4 linked regions of the Anolis sagrei genome follow. The protein of the gene in region 1 purifies or fractionates together with the protein of each later gene. This does not show direct contact. Links are inferred from orthologs where the notes say so. Each region holds a gene or a part of one and is shown on either strand. Other genes may lie near its edges. The genes, in order: PLEKHM1, VPS39, VPS41 and VPS33A.

Region 1 (7,161 bases):
GAGGGGAAAACTGTCAGAAACCATCTCTTGAGTATTCCTTGCCTAAGAAAACTCTTGAGAAATGGATGGGGTCGTGATTAAGACACAGGATCCATCTACACTGTGGAATTAATGCAGTTTGATACCACGTTTATTGCTATGGCTGTGGAATCATCGAAGTGGTGGGAAACCAGCATTCTCCAGCAGAGAAGGCTGAAGTCTTTGTAAAGCTACAATCCCCACAATTCCATAGCACTGAAATGCATGGCATGTGTTAATTTCACAGTGTAGATGTATTCTAGGCCCCTTTAACACTGCCATATAATCCAGATTATTTAATTGGATTATCCACATGATCTGCTTTGAACTGGATTATATGAGTATTTACTTATTTACTTACTTACAGTATTTCTATTCTGACCATCTCACCCTGCAGGAGACTCGGGGTGGATTACACTGTACATATACATGGCAAACATTCAATGTCATAGACCACAACATATATAGACAGACACATATATAGCACACAACATATATAGACAGAGGCTAATTAACTTTCCAGCTTTCGTGAGGGCATTCTGGCCACCAGAGGAGCTGTCACTTCACTGAGCATTTGTGACACTGATGGAGTACTTCCTCATTCTTTTGCTAGCTTGCTGGAGATTTTATGGCATCATAAATTACGGGTTTTTTGGGGGGGGGGGTTATCGTGTCAGGAGCGACCGCTCCTGTTGTGAGAGAATTGGCCGTCTGCAAAGACATTGCCCAGGGGATGCCTGGATGATTTGATGTTTTATCATCCTTGTGGGAGGTTTCTCGCATGAGGAGCTGGAGCTGATAGAGGGAGCTCATCCGCCTCTCCCCGGATTCGAACCTGCGACCTGTCAGTCTTCAGTCCTGTCGGCGCAGGGCTTTAACCCACTGCGCCACTGGGGGCTCCATCGTAAATTAGTTAAATAACCGGTACCTAAATTTCCTACTTAACAGATTTTTTTTTGTCGTATCAGGAGCAACTTGAGAAACTGCAAGTTGCTTCTAGTGTGAGAGAATTTGCCATCTGCAAGGATGTTACCCAGGGGACGGCCAGATGTTTTATCATCCTTGTGGGAGGCTTCTCTCATGTCCCCGCATGAGGAGCTGGAGCTGATAGAAGGAGCTCATCCATGCTCTCCCTGGATTCGAACTTGCGACAAGGGTTTAACCCACGGCGCCACAGGGGGCTCCAGATGCAACGTCTTTCGGGCTGCAAAGGTCGACAGCAAGCTACACAATAGTCGGAAGCTCACTCCAACCTGGGCTGGCTTTGAACTCATGACCTTTTGGTCAGTAGTGATCTTATCTGAATGCAGCAGCCGTGCAGCTGAGGGAGAAAAGGAAAGGGCCTGAGGCTGTGAGGATGCTTGCCATAGATGCAGGCGAAACGTCAGGAGAGAATGCTTCTAGATTGAACATGGCCATACAGCCCGAAAAACCTACAACAAACCAGGAAGGGGAATAGTTAAACATTCTGTTTGTTTTTTCCCGCTCTCATCCAATGAAATCACTGGATTTCTGTGTCTCTACCAATCGCTGCGGGAGTAGGCGGGCCCTAGAAAGACAGGCAGGCGAAGAAAACAAAATAGGGTGAGAGCGGAAGCAACAGAGCCGGAGGAAGACCCGACTGTCTGGAGTCTGTCCAATCACGTCGCTGTTCCCTTTGCCCCGCCCATTGCCTGTTTCAAGCACAGATTTAAGAACTAATAGAGAGATGCATCTCCATGCTCAGGAGACAAAATGGTTTAGTGTGTGAGATCAAGACCTGTTTCTGAGTTTAAAGTGAGGCCACTTTTACACTGCCACATAACCCAGATTATCAAAGCAGATATTCCACATGATCCGCTTGGAACTGTATTATATGAGTCCACACTGCCATATAATTCAATTCCAAGCAGATATTCTGGATTTTATATGGCAGTGTAGAAGGGGCCTCGGACATTGGATTATATTGTGATGTAGATGGGTATAATCCGGCTCAAAAACGATAATTTGGATTCAGAAACTAGATTATATGGCAGTATAGATCCCCTTGGAGTCACCATAAATCGGAGAAACTAAGTCTGTAAACTACACAGCTGTAAAAATACACATCTGCTTTGAACTGGATTATATGGCGATGATTATATGACTATTCTAAAGCCTTTGACTGTGTGGATCATAATAAATTGTGGCAAGTTCTTAGTGGTATGAGCATACCAAATCACCTTGTCTCTCTTCTGAGGAATCTGTACAAGGACCAAGAAGCAACAGTAAGAACTGACCATGGAACAACAGACTGGTTCAAGATTGGGAAAGGCGAGCGGCAGGGTTGTATACTCTCCCCCAACCTATTCATCTTGTATGCAGAACACATCATGCGATGTGCGGGGCTTGATGAATGCAAGGCTGGGATGAAAATTGCTGGAAGAAACATTAACAACCTCAGATATGCAGATGATACCACTTTGATGGCCGAAAGTGAGGAGAAGCTGAGGAGCCTTCAAATCAAGGTGAAAGAAGAAAGCGCAAAAGCTGGGTTGCAGTTCAACATAAAAAAAACTCCAAGATTAGGGCAACAAGAATGATTGACAACTGGGAAATAGAGGGAGAAAACATGGAGGCCGTGACAGACTTTGTATTTCTAGGTGCAAAGATTACTGCAGACGCAGACTGCAGCCAGGAAATCAGGAGACGCTTACTTCTTGGGAGGAAAGCAACGTCCAATCTCGATAAAATAGTGAAGAATAGAGACATCACACTGGCAATGAAGATCCTCATAGTTAAAGCAATGGTATTCCCCATAGAAACCTATGGATGTGAGAGCTGGACCTTAGGGAAGGCTGAGCAACGGAAAATAGATGCTTTTGAAATGTGGTGCTGGAGGAGAGTTCTGAGAGTGCCTTGGACCTCCAGAAGATCCAACTAGTCCATACTTCAAGAAATAAAGCCCAACTGCTCATTGGAGCGAAGGCTAGTAGAGGCCAAGATGAAATATTTTGGCCACATCATGAAGAGACAGGAAAGCTTAGAGAAGACAATGATGCTGGGGAAAATGGAAGGAAAAAGGAAGAGGGGCCAACCAAAGGCAAGATGGATGGATAGCATCCTTGAAGTGACTGGCTTGATTCAGATGGAGCTGGGGGTGGTGACAGCCGACAGGGAGCTCTGGTGTGGGCTCCGTTTACGAACCCGCACGCTCCCTTCGATCATCTGGAGAGGCCCTGCTCTCGATCCCACCTGCGTCGCAGGCGCGTTTGGTGGGGACGAGGGACAGGGCCTTCTCTGTGGTGGCCCCCTGACTCTGGAACTCTCTCCCCAAGGACATCAGACAAGCCCCAACGTTGGCTGTCTTTAGGAAGAGCCTGAAGACCTGGCTGTTCCAGTGTGCCTTTCCAGAATAGGAAACTCCTGGTTTCAAGCCCCAATTGCACTTTGCTAGAGACTCAGGATTATCTGCACATTGCAAGTACCTCCATATACCTCTACATATTACCTGTCAAGTTCAGCATTTTAATTTTTGTCCATTACATTTGGCCCGGCCTTTGGTTTTAATTGTGTCACGGGGTCATTGTTTTACTGTTTTATTGTTTTGCTTGATGTTTATTATTTGCTTTTGAGTTTATTGTGTATTGTATGTTGTTGATTGTTGGCGGCCTTGGCCTTTGTAAGCCGCATTGAGTCCTACGGGAGATTTTGCGTGGTATAGATAAAGTTAATAATAATAATAATAATAATAATAATAATAATAGATTTGATGCACAATTTTATGTTGCATGTTCCAGAGTAGGCAAACCAGACAATCTCCACATCAACACTGACAAAGACACAGCAAGAAATACTGTTTACCCACATGCATAAAGACATTACATATATTAGAAACCAACCCTTTCTAATTATTTTCCAGATTAGCAGGCTGGGCCACAGCAACGCGTGGCAGGGGACGGCTAGTAGTCAAGAAGACAGAAATAGATGTTTTTCTGAAACTCCCTGCCTTTCTCCATTATCTAGTAGATATTGGCAATTTGGTCTCTGGTTCCTCTGCCTTTTCTAAACCCAGCTTGTCCATCTGGCAACTCTCTCTCCATGTATTGCTGGAGTCTTCAGAGCTCTCTCTATAATTCCTGTCTCTGTGGTTCAGAGCGGGGCGGGTGACGTCAGAGGGCGCGCTCCCGCTCGGCGCTGCAGCTGTTTCGGGCTCACTCACTTCCGGGGTTTCCCCAGTCCTGCCTCGTCGGGGTCGCGCTGCGGAGCAGGTGAGTCCGAGCTTCCTCTCCCGAAGCTCCGCCCCTCGAGGGGGAGAAATTGGGCCAAGGAGAGTGGGGTCTTCCTAGGGAAGAGTCGAGGCCGGTTCTGTGGGGGGAGAGGCTGGCTGGAAGGGGGAAACAGGTTGGGAGAAGCCAGACAAAGGGGGAGGCCTGTTCAGGGGGTGGTGAAAGCAGAATACAGTAAAACCAATACAATCTGAAACCTAAAAGCTCAAGTGGTGTCCAACTGCATTGATTCTGCAGTCCATCAGTGATTCCCAAACTCTTCTCCTCAAATGGTTTTGGACTTCAACTCCCAGAAGCCTCAGCTGCCTTGGTCAATCATCAGGGATTCTGGGAGATGAAGTTCAAAACACCTGGAGGAGGAGAGTTTGGGAATCACTGATTGGACTGCAGAATGAACAAACCTATCACTCCTTTTTTGGTGATTTGAGAAGAAGAGCCCAAAGAGGGCTGTTTCTATAGGTTGTGATTGCCAGAGGACTCAAATTGCAGGAAAAAAACAGATTCCACCTATACATTAGGAAGAATTTCCTGACTATAATTTATAATGATTGTTGGTTTTACTGATGGGTCTATGGACTGTAATAAATTTTGTGTGGCTGTTGTTTGGTTGTGTAATTAGCTGCCATCATAGGGACCTTCTACACTGCCATATAAAATCCAGATGATCTGCTTTGATCTGGATTATGTGGCAGTGTGGACTCATACTTGCTTGCTTACTTACTTACTTAGGATAGTCTTCCAGGATCAGTATTCTTGTGGGCAGGGGCGGCTCAATCCATTACGCAAAGTATGCATTCGCAGTATAGTTGATTTTGCCCAGGGGTGCTCTTGAGGGGAAAATAGACCTTGACATATGCGAGTTGTAGTTACTGGGATGTATAGTTCACCTACAATCAAAGAGCATTCTGAACTCCACCAATGATGGAATTGAACCAAATATGGCACACAGAACTCCCATGATGAACAGAAAATATATATCAGTGATTGGTTGGGGGGGGGGGGGGCTAAATACTGTTTGCTTACCGTTGAAAATTACCTAGGGCCGCCTCTGCTTGTGGGTCCATAGGTGACTGTAGAGCCCTATTCTTGATCTGCTTCTTCTCCCACAATGAAGGCATTGGTTTCCAGGTGGAAGGTGGTCCCGGTCGGGGTTGGCTTGATGCGCCTTCCTCTCCAATAACAAGTCCCAGAAGCACTTTATTAGAATTAAGATTGTTACACACTGCACTTACCCTATAATCCTTACATATCACCTGTCACACCAGCACTTTTTAAAACTGGCTCGGCCCAGTTTTATTGTGTCTTGGTCTATTGTTTATTGCTTGTTGTTTAATACTGCTTTAATTGTTTTTAATTTGCTTAGGTTTTGTATTGTTATGTTGTGTTTTGATGCATTGTAAGCCGCATCGAGTCCTTCGGGGGATGCTAGCGGAGTACAAATAAAGTTAATAATAATAATAATTGGCACGTTTCTCTCTTTCGCCCTCCATTCGTGCCTCTTCAGATTCTACAGCACTGCTGGTCACACTGACCTCCAGCTGGAGCGCTCAAGGGCCAGGGCTTCCCAGTTCTCAGTGTCTATGCCAGAGTTTTTAAGGTTGGCTTTGAGCCCATCTTTAAATCTCTTTTCCTGTCCACCAACATTCCGTTTTCCATTCTTGAGTTCAGAGTAGAGCAACTGTTTTGGGAGATGGTGGTCGGGCATCCAGACAACGTGGCCGGTCCAGCGGAGTTGATGGCATAGGAGCATTACTTCAGTGCTGATGGTCTTTGCTTCTTCCAGCACACTGACGTTTGTCCGCCTGTCTTTCCAAGAGATTTGCAGGATTTTCCGGAGGCAGCACTGATGGAATCGTTCCAGGAGTTGTATGTGACGTCTGTAGACAGTCCATGTTTCACAGGCATATAGTAGGGTTGGGAGGACAATAGCTTTATAAACGAGCACCTTGGTGTCCCTACGGATGTCCCGGTCCTCGAACACTCTCTGCTTCATTTGGAAAAATGCTGCACTCGCAGAGCTCAGGCAGTGTTGTACTTCAGTGTCGATGCTGACTTTGGTGGAGAGGTGGCTGCCAAGGTAGCAGAAATGGTCAACATTTTCTAATGTTACACCATTAAGCTGTATCTCTGGAATTGAAGAGGGATTAGCCGGTGACTGCTGGAAGAGCACTTTGGTTTTCTCGATGTTCAGTGACAGACCGAACTTCTCGTATGCTTCTGCGAAGGTGTTTAGAGTGGCTTGTAGATCTTCTTCTGAATATGGACTCATATAATCCAGTTCAAAGCAGACAATATGGATGATCTGTTTTGATAATCAGGATTACATGGTAGCCACTCAGAGTCCCCTCAGGGAGATGGGATGGGGTGTAAATAAAGTTATTATAAACTGAAACACAACAAGATGAGTCCACAGCAGACAAGATCACTCTGCTGGCTGTTGTATTGGATCACACATCAGACACTTCCCAAGCGTCTAGGACTATGTGATGTATCGGCGAATAATGCATGCAGATCCCAGTAAGGTGGCCTTCTGAAGCTGACAAATGCTAATTTAGCTGTTCTGTGTCCCTCCACAGAGGTAGAGAAGAACAGGATATAAAAGTTCTAAGTAAATAAATAAATAAATAATTTTGTCAGCACCGATTGTGTTTAAGTGCAGGCCAAGGTCTTTAGGCACTGCACCCAGTGTGCCAATCACCAGTGGGACCACCTTAACTGGCTTGTGCCAGAGTCTTTGCAGTTCGATCTTTAAATCCTTATATCGTGTCAGCTTTTCCAGTTATTTTTCTTCAATCCTGCTGTCACCTGGGATTGAAACATCGATAATCCATACTTTGTTTTTTAACACGATCGTGAGGCCAGGGGTATTGTGCTCCAGAACTCTGTCTGTCTGAAT
Region 2 (7,605 bases), on another chromosome or scaffold:
GGCGGGGACGAGGAGCAGGGCCTTCTCAGTGGTGGCCCCTCACCTATGGAATTCACTCCCCGGGGAAATTAGATCAGCGACATCCCTCCTTTCCTTTAGAAGGAAATTAAAAACATGGATTTGGGACCAGGCGTTTGGGCAATCTGGCAGTTAAATAAAGGACTACGATGACGGATAGGAATAGACAATGTGGAATGAAGTATGGACTCTGAGTTGGCGAACGCTGATCATGAGATTGGTTATTGATTGTGATATATATTGATTGTTTTAATTGTTATAACTGTTTAACTGCTGTTTTTATGCGTTTTTGTATTATTGTGTAGGCATCGAATTGTGCCTGTTTGTAAGCCACCCTGAGTCCCCCCTCGGGGGTTGAGAAGGCCAGGGTAGAAGTACACGAAATAAAATAAATAATAATAAATAATAAAATTAATAGAATTAAATATAGAAATATAAAAATTCATAGTTAATATGGCTTACAAAATTATTAACAGTATGTGTATAAGATATATATATGATTTCAGGTTGAGACTTGGGTCCCATCTCTAAGATCACGTGTATATGCTAATACAGGTAATCCAAAACCTCAAACACTGCTGGAGCCAAGCATTTTAGATACAATATTAATATTTTTCGTGTTTATTTTTTTTACTTCCAATATTTAATCCTATTTTAGTGTTTGCGGGTTTTTTTAAGCTTTCAATGGTGTGTTCTATTGTTTTTAGTAGTTGCTGCTTTAGGTCTCTTTTTAGAGAGATAAACAGGGGTAGAAAGAAATATAGTTATACTAATAACAACAACAATATGTTTAGGCTTTCAATGTGTGTTCTATTGTTTTTAGTGATAGCTGCTTTGGATCTCCTTTTTGAGATAAAAGGGGAGTAAGAAATATAATAACAATAGCAAGATGTTTAGACTTTCAATGTGTGTTTCTAGGAGCCCTCGGTGGCGCAGTGGGTTAAGCCCCTGTGCCGGCAGGACTGAAGACCAACAGATTGCAGGTTAGAATCCGGGAAGAGGCGGATGAGCTCCCTCTATCAGCTCCAGCTCCTCATGCAGGGACATGAGAGAAGCCTCCCACAAGGATGATAAAAACATCAAATCGTCCCCTGGGCAACGTCCTTGCAGACAGCCAATTCTCTCACACCAGAATCGACTTGCAGTTACTCAAGTCGCTCCTGACACGACAAAAAAAAGTGTGTTTCTATTTTTTTTAGTGATAGCTGCTTTGGGTCTCCTTTTAGATAAAGAGGGGTAGAAAGAAATATAACAGCAGCAGCAATAGTTTAGTCTTTCAATGGTGTGTTCAATTGTTTTTAGCGATAACTGCTTTGGATCTCCTTTTAGAGAGATAAAAAGGGGTAGAAAGAAGTGTAATCATATGTTTACTTGTTTAGGCTTTCAATGTGTGTTGTATTGTTTTTAGTGATAGCGGCTTTGGATTTCCTTTTGGAGAGAGAAAGAGGGGTAGAAAGAGCAACAACAACATTTTTAGCCTTTCAATCGTGTGTCCTACTGTTCTCACTGATAGCTGCTTCCGGCCTCCTTTTCCCCCTTGACATTAAGTCTAGTCGTGTCCGACTCTGGGGAGTGGTGCTCATCTCCATGTCTAAGTCAAAGAGCCAACGTTGTCCATTGACACCTCCTAGGTAATGTGGCCAGCATGACTGCATGGAGCACCGTTACCTTCCCATTGGAGCGGTACCTATTGATCTACCCACATTTGCATGTGGCAGAAGCTAGGACTAACAGTGGGAGCTCACCCGCTCCCCAAATTCGAACTGCCAACCTTTCGCTCAGCAAGTTCAGCAGCTCATCAACATCATCAACAAAAATGACATAGAATCAGAGTTGGAAGAGACCTCATGGGCCATCCAGTCCAACCCCCTGCCAAGAAGCAGGAATATTGCATTCAAAGCACCCCTGACAGATGGCCATCCAGCCTCTGTTTAAAAGCTTCCAAAGAAGGAGACTCCACCACACTCCGGGGCAGAGAGTTCCACTGCTGAACGGCTCTCACAGTCAGGAAGTTCTTCCTCATGTTCAGATGGAATCTCCTTTCATTTTTAGCCTTTCAGTTGTGTTTTCTATTGTTTTCAGTAACAGCTGCTTTGGGTTTCTTTTTAGAGAGATATATAGGGGTAGAAAGAAATATAATTATACTAATAACATCAACAATATGTTTAGGCTTTCAATGTATGTTCATTGTTTTTAGTGATAGCTACTTTGAGTCTCTTTTTAAAGAGATAAATAGGGGTAGCAATATAGTTATACTAACAACAACAACAATATGTTTAGGCTTTCTCAATGTGTGTTCTATTGTTTTTAGTGATAGCTGCTTGGGATCTCCTTTTAGAGATAAAAGAGGAGTAAGAAGTATAATAATTTCAATGGTGTCTTCTATTGTTTTCAGTGATAGCTCTTTTGGGTCTCCTTTTAGAGAGAGAAAGGAAGGTAGAAAGAAATAAAATAATAACAATAACAATCATATTTTAGGCTTTCAGTGGTGTGTTCTCTTTGTTTTTAAGGATAGCTAATTTGGATCTCCTTTCAGAGACAAAAAGAGGGGGGATAACAACAACAACAACAACCTACAGCATCACGAAAGGGGTGCAGCCACATTCCTAAAAACTAACGCAGTTCCATACCACTTGAACTGCCTGGGCTCAAATGCTATGGAATGATGGGCAGCGAAGGTCTTCAGCTGTTGCCGCCCCAAACTCCCTCACCCCACCTCCTTGAGCCAGGGCAGTTCAAGCGGGGCCAAACTGCGCTAACTCCGCAGTGTGGATGCGCCCTGGGATGGGCGCCACTCACCCCAGGCGGCCAGGCAGTCGATCTGGAGGGGCAGCTTTTCCAGGATGGGCACCGGCTCGAAGGCGTCGTGCATGGCGGCAAAGGCCGGGGCCCCAAGAGGCTCCCTTCCAGCAGCAGAAAGGAGAGCGATGGGGAGCCCTTCCTTCCTCCCTTCCTCCCTTCCAGCTCCGGCCTAGGCTCTGCGACGTTTCCGGCTCCCGCTTCACTTCCGCGGAGAGGCTCCTCCTCCTGATGGAGGTGGATGCCATCCTTCGACTCCTTTATCATCCCTTAGGCAGGCATGGGCAAACTTGGGCCCTACCTCCAGGTGTTTTGGACTTCAACTCCCATAATTCCTAACAGCCTCAGTCCCTTTCCTTTTCCCCCTCAGCCGCTTAAACGACTAAAATAATCAAGGGTCTGGAGAACAAGCCCTATGAGGAGCGGCTTAAAGAGCTGGGCATGTTTAGCCTGAAGAAGAGAAAGCTGAGACTCCACGATGATAGCCATGTATAAATATGTGAGAGGAAGTCATAGGGAGGAAGGAGCAAGCTTGTTTTCTCCTGCCCTGGAGAGTAGTACATTGAACAATGGCTTCAAACTACAAGAAAGGAGATTCCATCTGAACATTAGGGAGAACTTCCTGACTGTGAGAGCCATTCAGCAATGGAACTCTCTGCCCCAGAGTGTGATGGAGGCTCCTGCTTTGGAGGCTTTTACACAAAGGCTGGATGGCCATCTGTTGGGGGTGCTTTGAATGCGATTTTCCTGCTTCTTGGACTGCATGGCCCATGAGCTGATCTCTGACATCACACCAGCTGGGAGGATTCCCTCTCTGAGGCAGGACTATGACATCCACCAGCCAATCACAGAGCGTTCCCCGTTTCCAATGCAGATTTCTGCTCTCCAGTGGCCAACAACAACAACAAAACTTTATTTATATACCGCTCTATCCCCCCAAGGGGACTCAGAGCGGTTTCCAGGTAACATAATCAATACATACAAGAAAAAAGGCATAAACATAAAATTAACAGGGCAGGATGACCAGTTCCAGTCATTTATTCCTGTTAATTTGACCTGGTGTGGGGGGTCATGCTCGACCTCACTTACACGAGATTCACTCAGAAAGGGATGTACACAGCAAGATACACAGCAAGATAGTCACAGCAAGAGAGCATACAAAGAGGGAAGAAAGATGTCACGCAGAGAGAAAGAGTGAGCATTTCACTTTCCACCTGGTGACTTGTCATCACTAAGGGTCCTGAAAAGGTCCGTTGGTTGGTTTGCTTGTTTGGTTGCATGTTGCAAGTCACTTCTGGAGTGAGAGAATCAGCCGTCTACGAAGAAATTGCCCAGGGGATGCCCAGATGCTCCACAATCCTGCGAGGAGGCTTCTTTCATGTCCACCAGGAAATAGCAACCAATAGTGAAAGGCCCAAGGCAGTCCATCCTTTGTTTGGGTGTCAGCCAGCACGGCAATGACTTAAAGCAATAAATAGTTTTCTAAGATCTAAAGAGACACTCACTGGAACACCCCAGCAAGCGAGAGTCCAGAAGTGGCAGGCTCAAACCCAGAACCTCAATCAATGAAAGACTCTCTCCTGGGCACACCAAAAACAGGGCGCCTTGGAAGGCGCTGAACAGACACGCCCTGGCACCACGAGATGCAGAGCCAACCTTAAGAAATTGGGCTACAAAGTGAAATCCACGACATGTGAGTGTGGAGAAAAGCAAAATACAGACCACCCACTGCAATGCAACCTGAGTCCTACCACATGCACGATGGAGGACCTTCTTGCAGCAACACCAGAGGCACTCCAAGTGGCCAGCTACTGGTCAAAGGACATTTAATAGAATATCAGGTCTGCAAATTTTGTGTTTTGTTTGTCTGTTTTTTAATGCAATACCACGGTTTTGGTTTGCTCCTGACACGATAAATAAATAAATAAATAAGGGACAAATGAATGATGCAACCTCTAATCATACATCTCTCATGATTATGACTCATCCGTTTCTACACTCCCCTCTGGTATTTCATCCTACCCCCTCAGTCATTCCCCAGGTGCCTGTCACATGTCCATCAGAACTGTATTTCACACATGAATTAAATGCTCAGGCATTTCTATCCAACATGGAACATTAACTCTGTCCCTAAGCCAATGTTTCTCAAAAATTCTGCTCCTGCAGGTGTTTTGGACGTCATTTTCTAGAAATCCCAGTCAGGTTACAAGCTGTTAGGAATTATGGGAGCTGAAGTCCAAACATCTGGAGGAACAGTTTGAGAAACTCTGCCCTAAGCATTGTGAACCTACAAAAGTCTTCCTTCTTTCATTCACTCCTATTGCCTGAATGTTTGGTATAATGTAGTAGATTTGGAAATAGAAATTCAGATTTCATTTTTAAAACAGAGATACACTAAATTTCAGAAAGAGCTTCATATTCTGGCACGGGCTTTAAAAAAAGTTTTTTAAAAAAATATTTTCACAGAACATCCTAAAGGGATGTGCTCATCCGTGGAATATAGGCTATCCCAGTAGTCCTGTGTCTAGCTAATTGAAATGAATATATCCTTATAGACATGTGCATGTATTTATTTTAGATCAAGGCTAAATGTGTTCAAGCACCCCCCCCCCCCTCCTTGTTCACAGGTTGAAGATTTAATTTAAAATAGGTGAGTTTTTAAATTCCATTTTGAGCCCCTGAAACTTAGGACCCACAGATTTTTCCACCAGAGTTGAGCAATTTCAACTCTGCAAGAACCACAGGTTCAGAAACCTGACATGTCAAGCTCCCCAAATGACCAAATAAAGTACAGGATGAGGGTAAAGAATGGCGGCTTTATTCTCTTTTGGCTGAAAGAGGATGTCAGCAGAGTCTGCACTCCAAAGACTGACGTACCCCAATGTAAACATGGATAACTATTTATAGCACTTCGACAGCAGTTGGAAATGAAGGACTTCTGCAGCCCTGAGTGTCAATTGGTCCATATCATGGCTAGCTAGGATCTGAAGGCTGGTTGGCTGGAGTGTGCTATCTGTCATTGTTGCTGATTGGTCTCCAGGTTAGGAGGGAAATTTAATAAATTGATGTTGCTCAGTTTGAAGTTTTGTGGCTGTTGCTTGTTCCTCCTCTCATGGGTATGGGAAGGGAAAGAAAAGTAGATAGGTTTGAGGTAATGGATGCTAATGATGGTAGTTTCCCGTGTCTTGGTGAGGACACTGGTCCATGCAGGTGAAACAATGGGTAGCAATGGATGTTAGCCAGCCTGAAATGGGTTCCCAGGAGGATGAAGAAAGGGGTTGTGCAACTTCTTTGTTAGATGAAATTACCCAAATTACCTGTCTGAACACATCTCCCACTATGAACCATTGTGGAGATTAAGATCCTCCGGGGAGGCCCTGCTTGCCGTCCCGTCATTGTCACAGGCACGATTGGTGTGGACAAGAGAAGGCCTTCTCGGCGATTGCTCCCCGGCTATGGAACTCCCTTCCTGGTGAGATCAGGTCAGTCCCCTCTCTTCTGTCCTTTAGAAGGATGGTAAAAACTTGGCTGTGGGACCAGGCTTTCGGGACAGGGCAATAAAGCAGCAATAGGAAAGATTACCAGGCCAATTAGATTTGACGTGGATGACTAGAACAGTTTTAAATAGTGTATTTTAATATTTTGATAAATGTTTTTAATGTTTATGTATGTATATAAGAATTTGTGTCCTGGCATTAAATGTTTGCCGCATATATGCTGTGCTCTGCCCTGAGTCCCCTTCGGGGTGAGAAGGGCAGAATATAAACGTTTAAGATAAATAAATAAATGTGTGGAGGCAATGTTGAGGGATTATGCCCACTGCCTGAAGGACGATGGAGTTTTTCTACATCCCTCCGGTGAGTACTTATGAAAGTTGTATGTCCAGCTTAACAGTCATCTGTGGAAGTTAGCTGAAATTAGGTTTAGGGTGAAAGGTCTCATTGGCTATCAAGACCTTTCTGTGGCCAAGGGTTTTGGGGTCTTCCTTGAGATCCCAAGTTTTCAATAACAGTAAGTCACTGCCCAAAAACCAATGATGATGGGATTCATTTATCCTATGAAGGCATGTTGGGGGGAGGATACATCTGATTTTTTTTACCATAAAGATGCAACAAGCCATCACACTGACCTCACCTGAGATATATGATAAGTATCATGGGAGCCTTGCAAACTGATTTACAAAGTAAGATTTCTTTATCTGCAGCATGAACACAAAAATCAGACTGAGGTGGTGAGTTATTTTTTTTTCTGGATGTCTCCAAAAAGAGGTTGGAGAGCTCCCTGTTGAGGATACAGGTGGAGATCCTGTATTGAGCAGGGAATTGGACTTCATGGTCCATACTGCCCTTCAAATTCTATGATTCTGTATGGACCAATACTTGCAAATGCACATTTTTATAGTACCATGCAGCACAACATATTGAAGTATTGATGCCAAAACTGGAGAAGCTGCTCTGAACTGAGCTCTTAAAAGGTAGGATACAAATTTAATAAATAAAAGTCCCAATAAAAATATACCTTGAGCATGGGCTCCTTACACATTTCAAGTTATAAACCAAGTGTTTATAATGGAGAATGTGATCCCAAATGGATATAAGCATCAGAATATGTGAAACCGCAAATTACAATTGAAAATGTTAAAGAGATGGAAAGATTCACTGCCAAAGATTTTATTACGATACAGAACAAAAATCTGCAACTTAAATTGAATCAAATAATCAAGTGATTTGTTACAGGTAAACCCATTACCATACTAAGTACAACTGAAATAAAATTGAGACACAAAAC
Region 3 (8,003 bases), about 20 Mb from region 1:
TGCCAACACAAAATGTTTGGAAAGCTCTGCCCTAAAAGTTGGACTTCTGCAATGCACTGTACATTGGGTTACATTGTGTTACCTGCCACCCCAAGGCTGTGGAATGACCTGCCAGAATAGCTCAAATGGCTAAATGAGTTGCAATTTAAAACTCAGTTGAGAATCCATCTCGTCCAGCAGGCCTACTCAGTCAACTTTCAATCATGAGTTTTGATTTACTTTCTATTGCTACGATATATCAAATCTGTATCTGTGTTTGGTGCATGTTTTCTTTTAATGGTTTTTTATCTATGTGATTAATTGTTCATGTTTTTGTACCCTGTCTCCAATTATCAGGAAAGGCAGATAATGAATAAAATTTGTTATTACTATTGTTGTTATTATGTTATTAAAGGCACCAGATTCTGTCTGATCTTTGACAAGTAAGCAGGGCCAGCCTTGGTTGGTACTTGGATGGAGAGCATCAGTGAATACCAAGGTCTATACTATGCAGGGTGTCCATAAAGTCTCTTTACTATTTAAATTTCTTATTTGATACATAACAAGATTAGTACACAGAAAAAAGATCACTATGCTGGCTTTTGTATTTGATCACACGTCGGACACTTCCCAAGTGTCTAGGACTGTGTGATGTATCGTAAAATAATATGTGCAGATCCAAGTAGGGTGGTCTTTTGCAGCTGACAGATGGTAATTTTGTCAGCCCCAATTGTGTTTAAGTGCAGGCCAAGGTCTTTAGGCACTGCACCTAGTGTACTGATCACCACTGGGATCACCTTTACTGGCTTATGCCAGTTTCTGCAGTTCAATCTTTAAATCCTCATACTATGGAAGCTTTTCGAGTTGCTTCTTGTCAATCCTGCTGTCACCTGGAATTGCAACATCGAGGATCTATATTTGTCCCCCCCCCCCCCCAATGATTGTGAGGTCAGGAGTATTGTACTCAAATTATTGTAATTATTGTTGTTGTTATTGTTTTTAAAGTCACCAGATTCTGTTATTATTCATGCTGTAGTTTTTAGTCATCAGATCCTGTGTTATTATTATTATTGTCGTTTTTAAAGTCACGAGATCTGTTATAGAACTCCAATATGCTGATGACAATGTTGTCTGTGCGCATTCAGAAGACCTACAAGCCACTCTAAACACCTTTGCAAAAGCATACAAGAAGCTCGGCCTATCATTGAACGTTGAGAAAACCAAAGTACTTTTCCAGCAGTCACCAGCCAATCCCTCTCCAATGCCAGAAATATAGCTTAATGGTGTAACATTAGAAAATGTTGACCATTTCCTCTACCTTAGCAGCCACCTCTCCACAAAACTCAACATTGACACTGAAATACAACACTGCCTGAGCTCTGCGAGTGCAGCTTTTTTCTGAATGAAGCAGAGTGTTTGAGTACCGGGACACCTGTAGGGATACCAAGGTGCTTGTCTATAAAGGTATTGTCCTCCCAACCCTGCTGTATGCCTACGAAATGTGGACTGTCTAGAGACGTCACACACAACTCCTGGAACGGTTCCATCAGTGCTGTCTCTGGAAAATCCTGCAATCTCTTGGGAAGACAAGCAGACAAATGTCGGCGTGCTGGAAGAAGCAAAAACCACCAGCATTAAAGCCATGGCCCTCCGTCATCAACTCTGCTGGACCGACCACGTTGTCTGGATGCCCGACTACCGTCTCCCAAAACAGTTGCTCTACTCCGAACTCAAGAACGGAAAACGGGATGTTGGCGGGCAGGAAAAGAGATTTAAAGATGGGCTCAAAGCCAACCTTAAAATCTCTGGCATAGACACTGAGAAGTGGGAAGCCCTGACCATTGAGTGCTCCAGCTGGAGGTCAGCTGTGACCAGCAGTACTGTAGAATTTGAAGAGGCACGAATGGAGGGCGAAAGAGAGAACCGTACCAAGAGGAAGGCGCATCAAGCCAACCCCGACCAGGACCACCTTCCACCTGGAAACCAATGCCCTCACTGTGGGAGAAGATGGAGATCAAGAATAGGGATCCACACTCACCTACGGACCCACCAGAATACTGCCCCTGGAAGACTATTCTGTTCAGACAATGAGTAAGTAAGTACGTAAAGTATTAGTTTTTAAAGTCACCAGATTGTTGTTATTATTATTGTTATTATGTTTTTAATTTCAGCAGTTGGAAGCTAAGGGCTGTTCTATACAGGGTGTCCTTAAAGTCTCTTTATCATTTAAATAGTAATTACTGCTCAAGCAGGGAGCTTTGAGATGGTAGAACAGAAGATTTCCAGAGCTCTAGGTGCTCTTACTGCCTATTAGAGGGAAAACCAACTGATCCCCAACCCATCTAAAACACAGACATGTGCCTTTCACCTCAAGAACAGACAAGCATCCCGAGCTCTGAAGATCACCTGGGAAGGAATCCCACTGGAGCATTGCAGCGCACCCAAATACCTGGGGGCAGGCCCGTAGCCAGGATTTCGATTTGGGGGGGGGGGGCTGAGTTTGTTTTGGGGGGGGGGCGAGTCCGAGTGAAAGAGGGTCTACCCTAGCAAACCTTTTGTATCGTTACCCCAATACCCCCATGCATATGGGATATATTGAGTAGGGTGATCAGATCATGATATGAATAAACATAACAGTTTAAATAATGCACCAGTAAGGCCTTTTCGCAAACCACCATGAGAATTTCAGGGGGGGGGCTGAAGCCCCCCAAGCCCCCCCCCCCCCCCTCGGCTACAGGCCTGCCTGGAGTCACTCTAGACCGTGCTCTTACCTACAAGAAGCACTGCCTGAACATCAAGCAAAAAGTGGATGCTAGAAACAATATCATACGAAAGCTGACTGGCACAACCTGGGGATCACAACCAGATACAGCGAAGACATCTGCCCTTGCGCTGTGCTACTCTGCTGCTGAGTATGCATGCCCAGTGTGGAACACATCTCACCACACTAAAACAGTGGATGTGGCTCTTAATGAGACATGCCGCGTTATCACGGGGTGTCTGCGCCCTACACCACTGGAGAAATTACACTACTTAGCCCAGTGGTTCTCAACCTTCTTAATGTCACGACCCCTTAATACAGTTCCTCATGTTGTGGGGACCCCCAAGCAAAAAAAATATTGTTATTGCTACTTCATATCTGCAACTTTGCTACTGTTATTATGTAAATATCTGATATGCAGGATGTATTTTCATCACTGGACCAAATTTGAATAGTGGTGGGGTTGGGGGGATTAATTTTGTTATTTGGGAGTTATAGTTGCTGGGAATTATAGTTCACCTACAAACAAAGAGCATGCTTTACTCCACCAACGATGGAATTGAACCAAACTTGGCACACAGTTCTCCCATAGCCAACAGAAAATACTGGAAGGGTTTGGTGGACATTGACCTTGAGTTTAGGAGTTGTAGTTCACCTACATCCAGAGAGCACTGTGGACTCAAACAATGATAGATCTGGACCTAACTTGGCATGAATACTCAATATGCCCAAATGTGAACACTGGTGGAGTTTGGTGAAAATAGACTTTGCCATTTGGGAGTTGTAGTTGCTGGGATTTATAGTTTACCTACAAACAAAGAGCATGCTTTACTCCACCAACGATGGAATTGAACCAAACTTGGCACACAGTTCTCCCATAGCCAACAGAAAATACTGGAAGGATTTGGTGGACAATGACCTTGAGTTTAGGAGTTGTAGTTCACCTACATCCAGAGAGCACTGTGGACTCAAACAATGATAGATCTGGACCAAACTTGGCATGAATACTCAATATGCCCAAATGTGAACACTGGTGGAGTTTGGTGAAAATAGACTTTGCCATTTGGGAGTTGTAGTTGCTGGGATTTATAGTTTACCTACAATCAAAGAGCATTCTGAACCCCACCAATGATAGAATTGGGCCAACTTGCCACACCCCTATGACCAACATAAAATACTGTGTTTTCTGATTGTCTTTGACGACCCCTCTGACACCCCTCTCATGACCCCCTCAGGGATCAGAGAATTATGAACTGCACCAATGATAGAATTGGGTGAAACTTCCCACACAGAACCCCCATGACCAACAGAAAATGTTGTGTTTTCTGATGGTCTTTGGCGACCCCTCCAAAAACCCTTCGCGACCCCTGCAGGGGTCCCAACCCCCAGGTTGAGAACCACTGGCTTAGCCGGTATTGCACCACCTGACATCCGCCGGGAAGTAGCAACCAATAGTGAAAGGACCAAGGCAGAGACATCTCCAGCTCATCCCTTGTTTGGGTATCAGCCAGCACATCAATGACTTAAATCAAGAAATAGTTTTCTAAGATCTACAGAGACACTCGCTGGAACACCTCAGCAAGCGAGAGTCCAAAAGTGGCAGGCTCAAACCCAGAATCTCAACCAAATGAGAGACTCCCCCCTGGGCACACAGAGGACTGGGTGACTTGGAAGGCGCTGAACAGACTGTGCTCTGGCACCACGAGATGAAGAGCCAACCCCAAGAAATGGGGCCACAAAGTGGAATCCTAGACATGTGAGTGTGGAGAAGAGGAAACCACTGACCACCTGAGCCCTGCCACATGCACAATGGAGGACCTTCTTGCAGCAACGCCAGAAGCACTCCAAGTGGCCAGATACTGGTCAAAGGACATTTAATCAACTACCAAACTCACAAATTTTGTATTTTGTCTGTTTGCTTTGTTCTGTTAGAAATGTAATATAATTTGACTGGTTGTCCTGACACGACAAATAAAAAATTGAAATAGTAGAACCTGGAAAAACAAAAAAGAGGGAGGAACTGGCAAAAGTATCTCTGAGTATTTCTTGCCTATGAAAACCCTCTGAAACTCAAGGGGGATTTCCTAGGCAAGAGCTGAAGGGACACAAGCCCACTGAGAGTGGCGAGACAGAAGAGCCTGAGCTGCTACTTGCAAGGCGCCTTTCTTCCCGCTCAAATTAAGCCCCGCCCCCCTCCGCGCGTCTACTTCCGCTCCCTTGTGTGGAGGGCAGGCAGCCTGCGGGGCGGAGGAACTACATTACCCGGCACGCTTTGCGGCCGCTTCCTGCCTGACTACCTCACATGACAGCCAGTCTCAGCATGGCGGAAGCAGAGGAGAAGGTAAAGGCTCGGAAGAGTGGTAGAAACTCTGGGTGTTTGTGAGATTAGCGCGTGGCAAACTGAAGAGACGAGGAGAGAGAAAGGAGGCAAATGAGGCAGGGAAAGGGCTAGGGGAGACAAGGAATAGTTTGGGGGTAATTTCAAAAAAGGTGGTTGAATGGCTGGGAAGCGTCGCTCAAGGCCTTCCCAAGAGGACAGGCCTTTGCAGGTGTATATTGGGACCTCCATGAGGCGAACACAGAATGGGACAGGGCAGGCCCCTTGCGTAGAACATGACTACTGAGGCACCACACTCGCCACCTCATCCCATTCAGAGGGGAAAGCATGGGGGACCGTCCCTTTGGAGGTCTGCCTTCCCAACAGACTCACACTGGAAACTTAAGAGCTGGCAATACATTCCTCTTCCATTCACCACAAGATCAAGGTTGCCTTTTTTAAATCGAGAAAAACAACAACACCCAAAATCCAGGAGATCCCTGGCCCTGCCCAAAGCCCCTTACATTAAAGGAGACTGACACCAGTTTAAAACCACTGCTTTCCATGGGATCCTATTGTTTGTTTATTTATTTACGACATTTATTTATTTGTCGTGTCAGAGCAGCCAGTCTATTATATTACATTTCTAACAGAACAAAGCAAACAAACAGAAAAATACACAACTTGTAAGTTTGGTAGCTGGTTAAATGTCCTTTGACCAGTATCTGGCCACTTGGAGTGCTTCCGGTGTTGCTGCAAAAAGGTCCTCCATTGTGCATGTGGCAGGGCTCAGGTTGCATTGCAGCAGGTGGTCAGTGGTTTGCTCTTCTCCACACTCGCATGTCGAGGATTCCACTCTGTAGCCCCATTTCTGAAGGTTGGCTCTGCATCTCGTGGTGCCAGAGCGCAGTCTGTTCAATGCCTTCCAAGTCACCCAGTCTTCTGTGTGCCCAGGGGGGAGTCTCTCATCTGGTATCACTCATGGATTGAGGTGCTGGGTTCGGGCCTGCCACTTTTGGACTCTCGCTTGCTGGGGTGTTCCAGCGAGTGTCTCTGTAGATCTAAGAAAACTATGTCTTGATTTAAGTTGTTGACGTGCTGGCTGATACCCAAACAGGGGATGAGCTGGAGATGTCTCTGCCTTGGTCCTTTCACTATTGGCTGCTACTTCCCGGCGGATGTCAGGTGGTGCAATACCAGCTAAGCAGTGTAATTTCTCCAGTGGTGTGGGGCGCAGACACCCTGTGATAATACGGCATGTCTCATTATGAGCCACATCTACTGTTTTAGTGTGGTGAGATGTGTTCCACACTGGGCCTGCATGCTCAGCAGCAGAGTAGCATAGCGCAAGGGCAGATGTCTTCACTGTGTTTGGTTGTGATCCCCAGGTTGTGCCAGTCAGCTTTCGTATGATGTTGTTTATAGCGCCCACTTTTTGCTTGATGTTCAGGCAGTGCTTCTTGTAGGTCAGAGCACAGTCCAAAGTGACTCCCAGGTATTTGGGTGTATTGCAATGCTCCAGTGGGATTCCTTCCCAGGTAATCCTCAGAGCTTGGGATGCTTGTCTGTTCTTAAGGTGAAAGGCACATATCTGTGTTTTAGATGGATTAGGGATCAGTTGGTTTTCCCTGTAATAGGCAGTAAGAGCACCTAGAGCTTCAGAGAGCTTCTGTTCCACCATCTCAAAGCTCCCTGCTTGAGCGGTAATGGCATGATCATCAGCATAGATGAAACTCTCTGTCCCTTCTGGCAGTGGCTGGTCATTTGTGTAGATGTTGAACATGGATGGCGCAAGCACGCTCCCCTGAGGCAGGCCGTTCTTCTGTTTCCGCCATCTGCTTCTCTGGCCCTGGAACTCAACAAAAAAGCTCCTGTTTTGTAGCAGGTTTCCTATGGTGGTTGAATGGCTGGGAAGCGTCGCCCAAGGCCTTCCCAAGAGGACAGGCCTCTGCAGGTGTATATTGGGACCTCCATGAGGTGAACACAGAATGGGACAGGACAGGCCCCTTGCGTAGAACATGACTACTGAGGCACCACAGTCGCCACCTCATCCCATTCAGAGGGGAAAGCATGGGTGACCATCCCTTTGGAGGTCTGCCTTCCCAACAGGCTCACACTGGAAACTTAAGAGCTGGCAATACATTCCTCTTCCATTCACCACAAGGTCAGGGTTGCCTTTTTTAAATCAAGAAAAACAACAACACCCAAAATCCAGGAGATCCCCGGCCCTGCCCAAAGCCCCTTACATTAAAGGAGACTGACACCAGTTTAAAACCACTGATTCCATGGAATCCTATTGTTTATTTATTTATTTACGACATTTATATGCCACCCTTCTCACCCCGAAGGAGACTCAAAGCAGTTTTCTCTCACTTTCTCTATTTATTTATAATATTTCTCCTTCTCAGTGACTGAGATTTTTTTTAAAATGTGAATTGTGTCCTGGGGATGATGGAAAACAAAAAGAAGTGAAAGTGCCTGTATGGTAATACCTTTATATGAATACCTGGCACAAACACATTTTAATAGTGAGTGTAGTTCTGGTTTGCTATATCCCAAGAAGCATATTGTAGCTCTGGAAAAAAAGAGCATCAACGAATACCAACAAATACGTGTTTATAAAACTTTTTTTAAATGGCCTGAATTGTTGCCCTGTTTTTGTAGCGGGTGTAAGTTCAGGAAGGGCCTTTTCATAGAATCATAGAATCAAAGAGTTGGAAGAGACCTCATGGGCCATCCAGTCCAACCCCCTGCCAAGAAGCAGGAATATTGCATTGAAATCGCCCCTGACAGATGGCCATCCAGCCCCTGTTTAAAAGCTTCCAAAGAAGGAGCCTCCACCACACTCCTTCCTCATGTTCAGATGGAATCTCCTCTCTTGTAGTTTGAAGCCATTGTTCCGTGTCCTAGTGTCCAAGGAAGCAGAAAACAAGCTTGCTCCCTCCT
Region 4 (8,013 bases), on another chromosome or scaffold:
ACATTAAAAACAATAAAAAGGGCTTCTATTCTTATGTCAGTAGAAAAAGGAAAAACAAGGAGGCGATAGGACCTCTTCGAGGAGAAGATGGGGCAATGCTGACAGGGGACAGGGAAAAGGCAGAACTACTTAATGCCTTCTTTGCCTCGGTCTTCTCACAAAAAGAGAGTCTTCAACCTCAGCAAGATGGAGTGGATGAGGGATTGGAGGACATCCAACCCCAAATTGGGAAAGAAGTCGTCCAGGAATACCTGGCCGCTCTTAATGAGTTCAAGTCCCCAGGGCCAGACCAACTACACCCAAGAGTACTGAAGGAACTAGCGGAAGTCATTTCGGAACCATTGGCAACCATCTTTGAGAGTTCTTGGAGAACGGGAGAAGTTCCAGCAGATTGGAGGAGGGCCAATGTGGTCCCAATCTTCAAGAAGGGAAAAAAGGATGACCCAAACAACTACCGTCCGGTCAGCCTCACGTCGATACCGGGCAAGATTCTGGAAAAGATTGTTAAGGAAGCGGTCTGCAAACACTTAGAAACTAATAGTCAACATGGATTTATCAAAAACAAGTCATGCCAGACTAATCTGATCTCTTTCTTCGATAGAGCTACAAGCTGGGTAGATGCGGGGAATGCCGTGGATGTAGCGTACCTGGATTTCAGTAAGGCCTTCGACAAGGTCCCCCATGACCTACTGGCAAGGAAACTAGTCCAATGTGGGCTAGGCAAAACTACGGTGAGGTGGATCTGTAATTGGTTAAGTGGACGAACACAGAGAGTGCTCACTAATGCTTCCTCTTCATCTTGGAAAGAAGTGACGAGCGGAGTGCCGCAGGGTTCCGTCCTGGGCCTGGTCCTGTTCAACATCTTTATTAATGACTTAGATGAAGGGCTAGAAGGCATGATCATCAAGTTTGCAGACGACACCAAATTGGGAGGGATAGCCAATAGTCCAGAGGACAGGAGCAGAATTCAAAACGATCTTGACAGATTAGAGAGATGGGCCAAAACTAACAAAATGAAGTTCAACAGTGACAAATGCAAGATACTCCACTTTGGCAGAAAAAATGAAATGCAAAGATACAGAATGGGGGACGCCTGGCTCGAGAGCAGTACGTGTGAAAAAGATCTTGGAGTCCTCGTGGACAACAAGTTAAACATGAGCCAACAATGTGATGTGGCAGCAAAAAAAGCCAATGGGATTTTGGCCTGCATCAATAGGAGCATAGTGTCTAGATCTAAGGAAGTAATGCTACCCCTCTATTCTGCTTTGGTTAGACCACATCTGGAATACTGTGTCCAATTCTGGGCACCACAATTCAAGAGAGATATTGACAAGCTGGAATGTGTCCAGAGGAGGGCGACTAAAATGATCAAGGGTCTGGAGAACAAGCCCTATGAGGAGCGGCTTAGGGAACTGGGCATGTTTAGCCTGAAGAAGAGAAGGCTGAGAGGAGATATGATAGCCATGTATAAATATGTGAGAGGAAGCCACAGGGAGGAGGGAGCAAGCTTGTTTTCTGCTTCCTTGGAGACTAGGACGCGGAACAATGGCTTCAAACTACAAGAGAGGAGATTCCATCTGAACATGAGGAAGAACTTCCTGACTGTGAGAACCGTTCAGCAGTGGAACTCTCTGCCCCGGAGTGTGGTGGAGGCTCCTTCTTTGGAAGCTTTTAAGCAGAGGCTGGATGGCCATTTGTCAGGGGTGATTTGAATGCAATATTCCTGCTTCTTGGCAGGGGGTTGGACTGGATGGCCCATGAGGTCTCTTCCAACTCTTTGATTCTATGATTCTATGGGGTCGTACTCCCCCTGAAGACGCAGGTTCGCAGCTTGGGTGTGACCCTGGACTCATCGCTGAGCCTGGAACCCCAGGTTTCGGCGGTGACCAGGGGAGCATTTGCACAGCTAAAGCTTGTGTGCCAGCTGCACCTGTACCTTGGGAAGTCTGACTTGGCCACGGTAGTCCACGCTCTGGTTACAACCTGTTTAGACTACTGCAACGCTCTCTACGTGGGGTTGCCTTTGAAGACAGCTCGGAAGCTCCAACTAGTCCAACGCTCGGCAGCCATGATTTTAACAGGAGTGGAGCGCAGGGAGCATACAACCCCCCTGCTGCGCCAACTCTACTGGCTACCGGGCTGAATTCAAAGTGCTGGCGTTGGCCTTTAAAGCCCTAAACGTTTCCGGCCCAAGCTACCTATCCGACCGCATCTCTGCCTATGAACCCACCAGGACTTTGAGATCTTCCGGGGAGGCCCTGCTCTCGATCCCGCCTGCTTCTCAAGCACGGCTGGCGGGGATGAGAGATAGGGCCTTCTCGGTGGTGGCTCCTTGGCTGTGGAACGCCCTTCCTACGGACATTAGACTAGCACCATCTCTAATGGTATTCCACAAAAAAGTGAAGACCTGGCCGTTTGAGCAGGCGTTCGAATAATTAGTGTAATGATTGGTTAATGAACACTGGAATGGAACAATGGATGACGAATCTGGAACATGTTTTTGATGATGAGACGACAGTGAATGGGTATTGTAGTAATTGTTTATTAATTGTGTAGTGTGTTAGGTTGTTAACTGTTTTTATACTGTAGCACTGAATTTTTGCTGTTCGTATTTGTTGTGAACTGCTGTGAGTCGCCTTCGGGCTGAGAACAGCGGTATATAAGTAAGGTAAATAAATAAATAATAAATAAATTATCTGTCAGAATGTGTCTCCCCCTATGAACCGGTTAGAGCATTCAGGTCACCTGCTCTTGATTCCATCCCTCTTGTAGGCGCAATTGGTGGGGATGATAGGGCCTTCTCAGTGGGTGCCCCTTGGCAGTGGAGCTCCCTCCCCAGCGAGATTAGACTGTCCCTATCTCTCCTCACATTCAAGAAAAAGCTGAAGACCTATCTGTGGCACCACGCATTTGGGGAATAATGCAATACGGAATGCAGCAGTAACTATGACTACGGGTCTAAGCACTATGCTTGTAATCTTTTAATATTTCAAAATCTTTGAATTGTATTTATATATTATCTGTTTGTATTACTCCATGTGTTTATTTGTTTATTTATATTGGTAATGCGGCATCAAATCTTGCCAAACTTGAGTCCCCTTTGTGATGAGTCCCCACAGGGAGGAGGGAGCAAGCTTGTTTTCTGCTTCCTTGGAGACTAGGACGCGGAACAATGGCTTCAAACTACAAAAGAGGAGATTCCATCTGAACATGAGGAAGAACTTCCTGACTGTGAGAGCCGTTCAGCAGTGGAACTCTCTGCCCCGGAGTGTGGTGGAGGCTCCTTCTTTGGAAGCTTTTAAGCAGAGGCTGGATGTCCATCTGTCAGGGGTGATTTGAATGCAATATTCCTGCTTCTTGGCAGGGGGTTGGACTGGATGGCCCATGAGGTCTCTTCCAACTCTTTGATTCTATGATTCTATGATTCTATGAGATGCGCAGGGTAGAAATCTAGGAAATAAATACATAAATAAATTCAAAGCAAAAATGTGAGCTTTTATTCAGCTGTGTGAAAGGGGCCACAGTCACCTATGGACACACCGCCAAGACCCAATGCTTGGAAGGCCATCTTACTCGGACACAAGGGTTTGCCAGTGATGATGATGTTTGCCCTCAGAACTGCCTCTGCAGCTACTGAGGCATGGAGCCCCTGGTAGCGCAATGGGTTAAACCCTCGTGCCTGCAGGACTGAAGACTGACATGTCGACATGAGGCCAAGCCCAAAATAATACAACATAGTTAAACACAGTAACAAAAATACATCATAACAAAATATTAAATAACAAATAAAATCAACAATATAAAATAGCATGATAAAATCAGACACAGAGGGCAGGCCAAATGTATGAGGTAAAATATTAAAAAGTTAAAACCCTGGGCAAGATAGGGATAAAAGTGCATTTGTAAGAGAGGAGTCCGACAGGGAGAAGTAGTGGGATTTGGCCTTTGTAGGGGACAGGGGAAGGTGCTATATTCTGAGGGCAGTTACAGGTTAAAACGACCAGATGGGTTGAGTGGTCACTCTCCAAAGGCACATCGCAAAAACCAGGTTTTTAAATCTTTCTTAAAAGTAGCTAGGGTGGGGGCTTGCCTGATCTCCCTAGGTAGCGTGTTCCAAAAGCAGGGGGGCCACAGCGGAGAAGGCCCTCTTCCTCATTCCCACAAGTCGAGCATGTGATAGGGGAAGAGGTGAGAGAAGGGCCTCTTCAGAGGATCGAAGAGATCGTGCAGGGTTGTGGTAGGAGATGTGGTCACAAAGGTAGGTGGGTCCCAAACCATTCAGGGCTTTGTAGGTAATAACCTGCACCTTGAATTGGGACCGGAAGATAAATGGCAGCCAATGGCACTTCTTAAACAGGAGGGTTGACCGCTCCCTGTAATTCGCCCCAGTTAGAAGTCTGGCTGCCAAGCACTGGACCAATTGAAGTTTCCGGGCTGTCTTCAAGGGAAGCCCCACGTAGAGTGCATTGCAACAATCCAATCTAGAGGTAACTAAGGCGTGGACCACCGTGGTCTGGTCTGGCTTCGTGAGATATTGTCGCAGCTGGGGAGAGCAGGTTGAGCTCCCTCCGTCAGCTCCAGCTTTCTATGCGGGGACATGAGAAAAGCCTCCCACAAGAATGGTAAAACACCAAAACATCCAGGCGTCCCCTGGGCAACATCCTTGCAGACGGCCAATTCTCTCACACCAGAAGCAACTTGCAGTTTTTCAAGTCGCTCCTGACACCAAAATAAAGCCACTGAGACAAGCTGAAGCAGAAGGAGGGAAGGAGGAACTGGGCCATTTGAGCCCCAACTAGGAAAGTGGGAGGGCTGGGGACTAATGGGCAATCAGGACCACTGGGGGGGGGGGGGGCTGTGGAAGCGAAGGCCTCAAGGTCCGCGTGAGGGACAAAAGAGGCGGGGGAGGAGAGGCAGTCACGTGCCCCGCCTCAGCGCCCCGTTCTGGCGCGTGAGGCAGGGCCCTGCCCCCTCGTCGTCACGTGACCCACTTGCTGTGTGTGTGTGTGTGTGAGAGAGAGAGAGAGAGAGAGAGCGAGAGAGCGCCAGTCATGGCGGCGCACTTGAGTGCGGGGCGCGTCAACTTCATGGCGCTGCGGGAGGCCGGGCGGAAGGAGCTGCGCGAGTTCCTCGACAAATGCGCGGGCTCCAAGGTGAGCGCGGGGCCCCTTTCCCCTCCAGAGACGACCTCCTCCCTCAAGGCCTCTCCCCGCCCTCCTGCCCCGTCTTGGGGCCGAGGAAGGCCTCCTCTGCTGGCCTGCCTCCGTGTACGTCCACACACGACGCTTATCCCGACCTCACAGGCACATAGGCCCACATCTGCGATGACTATTCGTTCATCTCATTTCTTACTCGCCCCTTGTGTCTAAGCAATATGGCCTCTGGGGGTCTCTTCTTAGGCCCCTTCTACAGAGCTGTATGAAATCCCACATTATCTGCTTTGAACTGGGTTTTATTTATTTATATTTATTATATATCCTGCTGGTGGCGCAGCAGGTTAAACTACTGAGCTGCTGAATTTGCTGACCAAAAGGTTGGCGGTTCGAATCCGGGGAGTGCGGTGGGCTCCCGCTGTCAGCCCCAGCTTCTGCCAACCTAGCAGTTTGAAAACATGCAAATATGAGTAGATCAATAGGTACCTTTTCTGCGTGAAGGTAACAGCGCTCCATGCAGTCATGCTGGCTACATGACCTTGGAGTTGCCTATGGACAGTGCAGACTCTGGCTTAGAAGTAGAGATGAGCACCACCCCTTAGAGTTGGACAGGACAAGACTTCATGTCAAGGGGAAACCTTTACCTTTTTAATATCCCTCCTTATCTCTCCACATGAAGACTCCAAGCGGCTCGTAATCAAAAACATTACAACTTCAAATACGCCAATATACAGTAATGCAGTATGTCATTATATATTATATATTTTCAGTAACAACAACAAAACTTTATTACGGTCACTATTTATTTATTTATTTATTTATTGTGTCAGTATCAACCAGACAATTGTATTACATTTTAACAAACAGACAAAACAGAGTTTGCAGGCTTGGTAGGTGATGAAATGTCCTTTGACCAGTATCTGGCCACTTGGAGTGCCTCTGGTGTTGCCGCAAGAAGGTCCTCCATTGTTCATGTGGCAGGGCTCAGGTTGCATTGCGGCAGGTGGCCTGTGGTTTGCTCTTCTCCGCACTCGCATGTCATGGATTCCACTTTGTAGCCCCATTTCTTAAGATTGGCTCTGCATCTCACGGTGCCAGAGCGCAGTCTGTTCAGCGCCTTCCAAGTCTCCCAGTTTTCTGTGTGCCCAGGGGGGGGGGGGTCTCTCATTTGGTATCAGCCATTGATTGAGGTTCTGGGTTTGAGCCTGCCACTTTTGGACTCTCGCTTGCTGAGGTGTTCCAGCGAGTGTCTCTGTAGATCTTAGAAAACTATTTCTTGATTTAAGTCGTTGACGTGCTGGCTGATACCCAAACGGGATGAGCTGGAGATGTCACTGCCTTGGTCCTTTCACTATTGGCTGCCACTTCCCGGCGGATGTCAGGTGGTGCAATACTGGCTAAACAGTGTAATTTCTCCAGTGGTGTAGGGCGCAGACACCTCGTGATAATGCGGCATGTCTCATTAAGAGCCACATCCACTGTTTTAGTGTGGTGAGATGTGTTCCACCCTGGGCACGCATAGTCAGCAGCAGAGTAGCACAGCGCAAGGGCAGATGTCTTCACTGTATCTGGTTGTGATCCCCAGGTTGTGCCAGTCAGCTTTCATATGATATTGTTTCTAGCGCCCACTTTTTGCTTGATATTCAGGCAGTGCTTCTTGTAGGTCAGAGCATAGTCCAGAGTGACTCCCAGGTATTTGGGTGTGCTGCAATGCTCCAGTGGGATTCCTTCGCAGGTAATCCTCAGAGCTCGGGATGCTTGTCTGTTCTTAAGGTGAAAAGCACATGTCTGTGTTTTATATGGATTAGGGATCAGCTGGTTTTCCCTGTAATAGGTGGTAAGAGCACCTAGAGCTTTGGAGAGGTTCTGTTCTACCATCCCAAAGCTCCCTGTTTGAGCAGTGATGGCACGATCATCAGCATAGATGAAGCTCTCTGTCCCTTCTGGCAGCGGCTGGTCATTTGTGTAAATGTTGAACATGGATGGAGCAAGCACGCTCCCCTGAGGCAGGCCATTCTTCTGTTTCCGCCATCTGCTTCTCTGGCCCTGGAACTCAACAAAAAAAGCTCCTGTTTTGTAGCAGGTTTCCTATGAGGTGGGTGAGGTGGTAGTCCTTTGTGATATTATACATTTTTCTCAGGAGGAGGCGGTGGTTCACAGTATCATAAGCTGCTGACAGGTCTATGAAGACAGCTCCTGTGATCTGCTGCCTTTCAAAGCCATCTTCTATGTGCTGAGTCAGGTTTAGCACTTGTGATGTGCAGCTTTTGCCTTTCCTGAAGCCAGCTTGCTGTGGGATCAGACATGGGTCTATTTTTTCCATAATTCTATGCAAAATAAGTCTCTCCAGAACTTTGTAGAGGTGGCACAACAGGGAGATTGGTCTATAGCTTTTTGGGTTATTACGGTCTTTGCCTGGCTTCAAGATGGCGATGACTCTTGCTTTCCTCCAGATTTTGGGGATCTGACAGGATGCAGTGCAGTTGTTCATCAGCTCCAGCAGCCAGCACCTTGCTTTTGGACCAATGTTCTTGATTTGTTCCATCCGTAGATCATCCAGGCCAGCTGCTTTGCCATTTTTACATTTATTGAGAGCCATGTCCAATTCAGTAGATGTAAAAGAGTTCATGAAGGTTGTTCTCAATCTCTGGCTATTGGTTTATTTCCTACTTTGGTGGCAAGGTTGGGTTTCCCATTCTTCAAGAGTTGGTGTGCTATCTGATCTGCCTTTATGTTGGCATGGGTATTAGTTTGTGAGGGGTCATTGCTCAGCCATCTTTGCAGCCTCCACGCCATGAGAGAAGCCTCCTCGCAGGATTGCAAGACATCCGGGCGTCCCCTGGGCAACATCTTCGTAGAC

What was found.
Region 2: the proteins of PLEKHM1 (region 1) and VPS39 purify together in Homo sapiens (co-immunoprecipitation; 3 studies listed by BioGRID and IntAct, with this or other methods). This does not show direct contact. The link is inferred for Anolis sagrei from reciprocal best matches to the Homo sapiens genes PLEKHM1 and VPS39.
Region 3: the proteins of PLEKHM1 (region 1) and VPS41 purify together in Homo sapiens (affinity purification with western blotting; 4 studies listed by BioGRID and IntAct, with this or other methods). This does not show direct contact. The link is inferred for Anolis sagrei from reciprocal best matches to the Homo sapiens genes PLEKHM1 and VPS41.
Region 4: the proteins of PLEKHM1 (region 1) and VPS33A purify together in Homo sapiens (affinity purification with western blotting; 3 studies listed by BioGRID and IntAct, with this or other methods). This does not show direct contact. The link is inferred for Anolis sagrei from reciprocal best matches to the Homo sapiens genes PLEKHM1 and VPS33A.

The regions. Positions count from the first base shown.
Region 1 is NC_090026.1:48,785,890-48,793,050, forward strand, and holds the start of PLEKHM1 (pleckstrin homology domain-containing family M member 1), read left to right. Parts: upstream 1-4,146; 5' UTR 4,147-4,247; intron 4,248-7,161. UniProt on the Homo sapiens protein: Acts as a multivalent adapter protein that regulates Rab7-dependent and HOPS complex-dependent fusion events in the endolysosomal system and couples autophagic and the endocytic trafficking pathways.
Region 2 is NC_090021.1:287,124,737-287,132,341, reverse strand, and holds the start of VPS39 (vam6/Vps39-like protein), read right to left. Parts: upstream 3,007-7,605; 5' UTR 2,891-3,006; coding exon 2,818-2,890; intron 1-2,817. UniProt on the Homo sapiens protein: Regulator of TGF-beta/activin signaling, inhibiting SMAD3- and activating SMAD2-dependent transcription.
Region 3 is NC_090026.1:69,255,567-69,263,569, forward strand, and holds the start of VPS41 (vacuolar protein sorting-associated protein 41 homolog), read left to right. Parts: upstream 1-4,995; 5' UTR 4,996-5,042; coding exon 5,043-5,081; intron 5,082-8,003. UniProt on the Homo sapiens protein: Plays a role in vesicle-mediated protein trafficking to lysosomal compartments including the endocytic membrane transport and autophagic pathways. Acts as a component of the HOPS endosomal tethering complex.
Region 4 is NC_090034.1:31,895,656-31,903,668, forward strand, and holds the start of VPS33A (vacuolar protein sorting-associated protein 33A), read left to right. Parts: upstream 1-5,004; 5' UTR 5,005-5,051; coding exon 5,052-5,153; intron 5,154-8,013.